Coturnix japonica: one gene and its partner. The protein of the gene in region 1 purifies or fractionates together with the protein of each later gene. This does not show direct contact. Links are inferred from orthologs where the notes say so. Each region holds a gene or a part of one and is shown on either strand. Other genes may lie near its edges.

What was found. The genes of interacting proteins can lie anywhere in the genome.
Region 2: the proteins of CHAF1B (region 1) and CBX3 purify together in Homo sapiens (affinity purification with mass spectrometry; 3 studies listed by BioGRID and IntAct, with this or other methods). This does not show direct contact. The link is inferred for Coturnix japonica from reciprocal best matches to the Homo sapiens genes CHAF1B and CBX3.

The regions. Positions count from the first base shown.
Region 1 is NC_029516.1:95,999,385-96,003,685, reverse strand, and holds the start of CHAF1B (chromatin assembly factor 1 subunit B), read right to left. Parts: upstream 2,821-4,301; 5' UTR 2,726-2,820; intron 2,308-2,725; 5' UTR 2,303-2,307; coding exon 2,177-2,302; intron 1,787-2,176; coding exon 1,654-1,786; intron 953-1,653; coding exon 835-952; intron 1-834. UniProt on the Homo sapiens protein: Acts as a component of the histone chaperone complex chromatin assembly factor 1 (CAF-1), which assembles histone octamers onto DNA during replication and repair.
Region 2 is NC_029517.1:29,453,386-29,457,503, forward strand, and holds the start of CBX3 (chromobox protein homolog 3), read left to right. Parts: upstream 1-1,303; 5' UTR 1,304-1,416; intron 1,417-2,680; 5' UTR 2,681-2,707; coding exon 2,708-2,731; intron 2,732-4,118. Other genes in the region: HNRNPA2B1 (heterogeneous nuclear ribonucleoproteins A2/B1), read right to left, coding at 1,066-1,095.

The DNA of each region.
Region 1 (4,301 bases):
ACTTCCCCTAACATCCAACCTAAATCTTCCCTCTTTTAACTTAAAAACCATTTCCCCGTGTCCTGCTATTGTCAGCCATTTCAAAGAGTTTACTCCCCTCCTGGGTGTAAGTTCCCTTCAGGTATTGAAAGGCTGCAATGAGGTCACCCCGCAACCTTCTCTTTTCTAGGCTGAACAAACCCAAAATGGGTATAGAATCACCCATTTCTTTCCAGTCTTCTGCTGAGAGTGAGAACAGATCACCACACACAGTACTGCAAGTGCAAACCAGCAGTGGTTTGATGCCTTAGCCACAGTCAGCAATACTTACCTGGTCTTTGCAGGTTAAGTGTATCTATCTTCTTAATTGCAACATAGATTGAAACTAAAGCTGGCCAGTGTAGATTTTCAACTATTTAAAAGAACTAGTTGAAAAAGACTCCTCCAGCCTCACAGCTACAATCTGGCAAATGTGCCCAAACTATTTCTGCTACTGATGTTTTTTGTTTTAATAACGATCAAAATTTGCACTATGAAGCTAATATATAAAACTTGATATTTACTTATATACAGGCATTAAAGCTTAAGTGATTGCAAATCTCAGGAACCAATTTCAGAGCGGATCAGCTATGCCATGCAAATTCTTTATGTCACAATTAATGCTGTAACAGCAGATGCAGGATGGCCCTGTATCAAACAAAAAATGAATTACAGACAGTAAAAAGATGAACTCGCAGTAAGTAAATTCTAGAGAGTGTTGAAGTCCTAACATCACTGAGCAGAAGTCTGTACTAGATGATAAAAGTCACTGTGCAATCAAAAACACTGAAGAACATCTCAAAAACACTAAAATACCTTAAAGTTTTAACAACTGTCCAGTTTTCCTTGTTGAGCTGAGCTTCATCTTCATCCTGAAAAGCCAGTGGTTCCAATTCTTTGCTATCATTCAGCTTCCATAGTAAAATAACAGCATCTGTTCAAGAAATAATACAAAGCTTCTTTCTTTCCTACCCATTTGTTAACACATTACATTTAGTTCATTGTTCATCTCACATATGACATATGTAGAACAGATCTTAAATTGTCAAGGGGAAGAGAAGCTCCTAGACTGCCTAAACCTTTTATTTTATATGTAATGCTTTAATTAAAAAAAAAATGAAAGAGAGATTCCCAGGAGTAAGATGAGAGTGCAAGGCTTAACTTTCAGTTTGCTTTGGATTAGAGCTGGCTATGGTTCCGTACATAATGCTTTGTGAAAATCTTCTAGTGAAGAAGGTAACACTCAGCTTCATAGGACACACCCCTACCCACTGCTGTCCTTACTGGGACTGAAGAAACCACATCACCCTGGAGAGATAGGGAGAAACACACAGATTCAGCCACAGCTTCTCACTGTGACACTAGGTAATCCACTCAATCTCCCCTTCTGGAAAACACGTGCAGTTATTTATCTTATGCCTGGAAAACAGCTTCTCAGACTCAGGCATTAAAAGTTATTCAGGATCTAACTGCTTGACAAGCATTTACTGCTTACAGTCACTGGGCATGTAGGAATCTGAAACTGAAAGCGTGAGCGAGAGGTATGAACAAGTTTGTGTGTTCGCTTTTCTCCCTTCAATCACCAGATGCACGCAGAGCTTCTTTTCATTAGCATCACTGAGCACTGTTACTCACCATCAGCACCAGATGCGAGGACTTCACCATTGGGAGAGAAGCGCACGACATTGACTGCTTTGGTATGGCGGGCGAGATTGGACAAGAATTCCACAATAGCTTTTCCATCCGGTCCTTTTTCCACTTTCCATATCTAGTTACAAAAGCAATGCAGGTAGTTTTTGGAAACAAGATATAATCTTGTCTCACTACAATAATTCACTATTTACTCCTTGGACCATCATTCTGAACTTATGATCTGAAGCTTCCATAGGTAAAGCTGCAGTGGTACCACAAATTTTCCCTCTTGGAGCTAGAGGCGTGACTATACTGTAGTATAGAATCATCGAATCGCAACCTTAGAAAGGACCTACAAGATCATCGAGTCCAACCATCCTCCCATTACTGTTGCTACCACAAACCACTAAACCATATCTCGTAGCTCCTCATCCAGACGCCCCTTGAACACTGCCAGGGACACCTCAGGTAAGAGTACATGTCATATTTTAGTTACACCAGAAAACATAAGAGGTGTGAGACATACCCGGACAGCCGTGTCCACACCTGCAGAGGCCAGTCGGTTGATCTTCCCATCAGTTCCGTGCTGGAAGTCCAAACTGTACACAGGCTCCTTGTTGTGCCACGCTATCTCACAAGTGATGACCTTCATATCTTCTAAGGAAACCAGAGCAAAACCCTGCCTAAATTCCTCTTCCCTATGACCACGATTCAAATTAACGTGGATATAGCAAGCACTACAGAAACTGACAGGACAGCAGGTTCAGGAAGATCAGGAAGAGCCGTGATTACAGCGTTAGAGGTTACTGGCAGGGCAGGTTACTGGATCGGGGCAGGATCTGCATCTCTCCCCCTTCTGGGGGAGGCCGACCCGACTCCACACAGCCAACAGAAGCCACTCCCGCCCGCCGGAGCTGCAGGGCTTTAACCGCAAGGAAGAAATTAGGCCGCCCGACACGCCGCTCCGTACCGCACACCCACAGAAAGCATCAGACCCATGGCTGCCCCGCATACCTCTCCCCTCAGCCTCAACCGCTGTATCATCCACCCCCATCCCCATCCCCATCCCCTCTACCTGCAACACAGCCCGGCCCAGCTCCAGCGCGGCTCCACGTTTCCCGCCCCGCGCATGCGCGCGGACTCCGGGCGGGCTCGGAGCTGGGCGGGAAGCTTGGCTGTTACCACAGCGCAGCGAGGCGGCTTTCCTCACAAGCTGAGGTAGTTAAGGAAAGCAGGTCACAGTCGTAGTTATTTATGAAGGAAACACGGCACCCCATCACGTGTTTTTGATCCAGCAAATTCAGGTTTATTTTTTTTTTTTCCGTTTTTATTTTTTACAAAAAATACATTTTGACAAATAAAAAGCATTTCCATCAGTCCGCTGCTCTTCCAAGTGTAAACGTACACTGTAATTTTTCCCGTTTTTAATATAGACTTAACGCTATATTTTATGTCATCTACAATAAACTCAGCTACAGAATCTCATGAAACGTAATAAATAACGATGAAGGAATGGAAACTACACAGCAAAAAAAAAAAAAAAAAAAAAAAAAGGAAATCAGAAACTTTTTAAAAGTCATATTTAAAAGTTATATTACAGCCACCTCTCCAAAAAAACCAAACATTCGATTTAGCCACCATGAAAGCAAAGCAATATTGCATTATCCTTATTGGCGTACTGGAACAGAAAGCATCCTGAAATCAAAAGTACTGCCCGCTGGAAGAAAATGAGCTATAACTAAGTGGAACCTAATCCAATCAAATATGGACAGCTAACAGTGCAAAAGCCAAAACCCTTGGCTTTACAAAAAGGACAATTCCTAATAACAAACACTGAATGCAGTTTTGTGGTTTTTTAATCTTTTTTTTTAAAGCAAAAACTGTTTTTCTTGATCACTGTTTGGATGATGAATACCACCAGAGATAAAAGGTGGGCTCTTCACCCACCCTTTATTCCTGATTACCTCAATGGAAAAAGCATGCAGTTGGCTGAAGAGAATACTGTCACCACCGTAATAAAACAAGTTTAATGGCTTAATAATTACTGTGATAATTTAAGAGGGAAAAAAAGAGAGGGACTCATCTATCTTACCTGTAATAGAAGACACCTAAATATTAAGACAGCATAAACAAGTCACATTTGAACATTTTCAGCCTTAGCTTACTTTGTTGTTTAACACCACAGATAAGAAAACACACCTCTCCTTCTCAAAATCTTTGACTAGATAAGCAAGGATTTAGTAGCCTGACCCATTTACATGCAGCATCACCCACTGCGATTGAAAGGTAAGCTTCAGCCTGAGAGACTCACGGGCAGACTGCTTGCTTTATGCTACAACACTTTTTCCTCTGAGGTAAAATACACAAATTAATTGAATACATCAACGAGCCTCTATGCCAATTATTTTTTGCATTGGGCTGCCCTGAAGTAAGGCCTTAAAGCCTCAAGAGGTGGTGTTACAGCAGAGGTCTCCAGGAATCCTACCCTAGCTTTGCATACATTCTCTCCAATGGACCACCAGCTGCTTTTGGCTTAGAAAAATGGCAGGCAAGAGCCGCATGTGAATACTGACCACTTGAACTCATGTGCTGGAACGTACTGGATTTATAAGCCAGTACTGCTGCATTCAATTGAGAAGCATGGGGTAGAA
Region 2 (4,118 bases), on another chromosome or scaffold:
TGGCAGCCCCTGCCCGGCGCAGCGCTCGGCCCTCAGCAATGGCTGCCGCAGCTCTTACGTAATTTGAAATTCAGCTCCGCGCACTACGAGCGCCCTCCTCCTCCTCCTCCTCCTCCTGCTCTACCCGGCCGCACCTCCGGGCTTTAATTAAAAAAATAGCTCGGATTTTAGAGCCTAAATCGGTCCCGAGGGGCTGCGGCTCCGTGCGATACCCCTCTGTTTTTGGCACCTAATAAAAACTCATCGACGCCGTTACTAATGGCCGTCTCCGAAATGAGCCGAACGACTCGTCCTCGCCCGAGCTTATCCGCTTCGCCAGCCGCCGGAAACAGCCGAAAGAGGAACGCCAGCCCGTTCGGCTCGCTTCGGCGATTTCCGGAATCAGCCGACACCGACGAAACAGGCGATCGGCTCAAGTTCGGCAATTTCCGGAAAAAAAAGACGCAGAGCTCACCGACTCCCCCAACCCACTCGGCAATTTCCGACAGCGGAAGGGCTCTCTCATAGGTGCCCGAACAGATCCGAAAAGGCCCGAGCAGACCCGAAGCGGCCCGAGCGTCGCTGGCACAGCGCTCCTTCTTTTTTTTTCCCTCTCTCCGGAAATTGCCGATCGCTGCAGCCCGTAGTGCGGGGTTATAATTAGCCGCAGCGGCCCCGCACCCCACCACCCTCGGCGGGCGGGAGCGCGGTACAACACAACGCAGCTGCTCCCCCTCCACCCTCGGCCCAGGCGGGAGGCAGCGCTGACCTGGAGCTGTGCCCGGCGGACAGCGCTGGGCCCGGCCTCGTTCCGCCGGCAGCCACGCAGCGCTCGCCTCCCTCCCGCCCTCCCCTTTCCTCTCACACGCGGCGAGAAAGGGTGAGTGCTGCCGAGTGCTGCTGGGTGCTGCCGCCCTGCAGCAGCGACACGGCACCGGGGCTCCCGCTTTCTGTCCCCCTGCAGCCCCGCTCTGCTCTCCATTAACCGCCAATAAAGGCCTTTCCCCGGGCCCTCTCCCTCCTTCCCTCCCTGGCGGTGGCGGCCATGATGGCGGCTGCCTCCCGCGTCCCGCCGGCCTCCCTCACCCAGTCGCTTTCTCTGTCTCCGCGAGGCATCTTCCTCCTTTTGGACGCCTGGCGCGGTCCTGCGCTCGCCCCCCGTGGGACAGACGTCTTGGCCCCCTCCTGTGCTGGCGGCGACGACGGGAGGAGGTTGCGGCTGGCGCGTAGGCGGCGTCGTTCGCTCTGCCCCGTCAGCCGCCGGCGCGCTCAGCTCGGCCCAACCCGCCCCGCACCGCCCGTCCCGCCCCGCGCCGCTCCCCGCCCCCTCCCCTCCCCCCTCAGCCCCTCGGATGCCGCCGCTGCCGCCGCCGCTCAGAGCGCGCAGGGCGAGAGCCGGGAGGAGACGGGGGAGCGGCGCGGCCGAGCGGCACTGAAGTCTGTATCCTTCTTTTTCCCCTTCTTTCCTCGTCTCGGCGGCACTCCCCGCTCCCACGTTTACTCCCCGCCGACATCCGCGGGGATGGAGCGCGGGGTGCGGCCGATTTTCCCCCCCCCCCCCCACCACCACCAACCCCTATAGCGCGGCGGCCGCGGGAGGAGTGGGCATGGCGGGAGGGCCCCGCGGGAAGGAAGGAAGGAAGGGAGGAGGAAGGGAGGAGGGAGGGCGGGTGGGCGGCGGGGCCGGGCCGGGCAGACAAAGCCGCCCGCCAGCGCCCGGAGCGGCCTCCGCGGCGGGGAAACGTGGCGGGGCGGGGGGTGGCGGGCATGGCGAGGCGATGCCCCCCCTTCCTCCTCCTTCCCTCCCTCCTTTCCTCCTTCCCTCCCGGCGGCCCGCGGGGCTCCGTTCCTTATGGGTTGGGGGTGGGGGGTATCGGGATCGTTCTTGTGGTTTCTTTCCCCTTTCTCTTTCCGATGGGGACGCGAGGAGCTCTCCCGCTCGGCCCTTTCCGCCGCGCTCCCCCCACCCCCCCCCCTAGCGGGGGGCTGAGCCCTCGGGCCCTGCAGGGCCGTGTGCTGTGCCGTGCTCGGGCCTGTGTGCGATCCGAAGTTTTGTAGTTGGAACGGGGCAGGGATGATAACGTGCTTAAAGAGGTGGTCGGTGTGAGAGGTGTGGTGGTGAAGGGGATGGATGGTGTTGGACTCGCTTGCTTAGGTTAAACGTAGCGTGTGCAGCTTAGCCGAGCTCACGTCGGTGCAGGGCCTTTAATTCGTTCAAACTTGAGAATCGGAGGGCAGCGTTGTGTATTAAAAGAAATATTCGCAGTTTGGAAAGCGGTGGGTGCTCTGTTACACTCCAGACGTGGAGCTGCTCCCCGCCGGATCCACAGTTAACACGTCTAAAGCTATATTTGAGTTAACTGCTGGAATCTGAGCTCCTGTTCTGTTGGGTTGAAGGAAATAAGCATCCCTGATGGTCCTCCCCCTTTTCCCTACAAACGTCTCCGTGCCTTAGAAGGCCTTGGAAAAACCTTTTTTCCCCCCCATCTACCACTTCGTTACTATATATCCCGACTAGGTAAAGGTGTGTTACTGGGTTATGCCGGACAAAGCAGTAAGCTGCTTCTTGTCCTGGATTTAATCCATCCTGTAAATGTTCTATGCCGTGAATACATGGGGGTTGGAACAAGGACCATGTTGTATTGGGATGCCTTTCTTTGAGTAACGTCAACTTCCTTTTAATTGTCATGCATTTTTCTAGTAAAAGCTCTGCAAGTCTGCAATAAAAATGGCCTCCAATAAAACTACATTGGTAAGTTCACGCACACCTAAAGTATGTAAGGATTTAATCAACATATTTTTCTTCAAACTTAATAACTTGGCATCTCCATTTAAAAAGATACATCCACATCTCCCCTCCCCAGCATTTTTCTGACCAAAATTTCAGGTCCAGAAAGTAAGGCTACTAGAAAGGACATACTCTTTGGCTTTAACAAATCTGCCATTTCTACAGAGACTTGTTGGGGAATACCAAAAAAAATCAAGGACTGTGCACTATTTCGTCTGTCCTGTTGTAGAAAGCACTAAGGATTTTTTTTAGCCTCCTTTCAGGATACCATGTAATTCATCGTTTATGTAAAAATAAGTAAAATCATGTATTCGTTTGATTTCTTCTAGTCTATTCAGAGAAATAGAAGAACAAACTGAGTAAAGGCGGTCATACAGAAGAAAAATAACATTACTGGGAAATGATGTGGTGTAGTTAAGATGCCCTTTGAAATTATTATTATTATTATTATCATTTTTTTTACCAAATAACAGTTTATTTGAATTTCATAGGAACAGAAATGATCAGATGTCAACCCCTCCTGAACGATTTTAATGACGCATTCATGGTTCTCAAGTCCCTGTAAAGCTTTGCTTGACGTTAAAATATGAACTTCTAAAGGCAGTTGGTTGCTGGAAAAATGATTTTAATTGCCATTCAACTACTTACTTTATATATAAATACATATATATCGATATATATATATATATATACACATATATGTGTGTGTGTGGAAGAACTGAAGGAATATAGCATGAGATGCATCTGAGGTTGAAGCAGGATGCGTGGATACAATTGGACATTTGGATAGCAGAACAACGGACTTATCATGCACTCAAAAGGCCCGTTCTTAAATTACTCCAATGGTTGCTAATTGACCCACATTGAGGCACGTTAAAAACTCTTCTTAACTCCTGGCTTCGAAGCACAGTGCTTATTTGATATTATATGATGGCAAACCGTTCTAAAGATAACATCGAGATGAATGTCTGAACTTTGTTAGCAATTGATTGTCCACTTTTCCCTATTATGAGGAAGAGGAGCAGTTACCAGCCCAGGGAGGGCCTCAGGGAAGGGAAGGAGTCTGCAACTGCAGTATTTTTGCTATTATGTTCAGAATTTTGCTGCAGGTCAGGAAAAATCAGTTATGGTTCCCATGGGAACCGTAACTAATTCTGCTTCATTGCATATTTGAATGCAAAACTTAGATCTATTGGGGGTAGTGTAGCTCTGGAACTGTAATTCTGCTTTTGTTACCTCACGTATCGTGTAACACTCCATCACAACGTCATGTCTCTGTTCTAGTATTGCCCCTTAAAGAAGGAGTCATTACCCATTGAAAGCCATCTCTGTCTGTCGGATGTGACTTCTG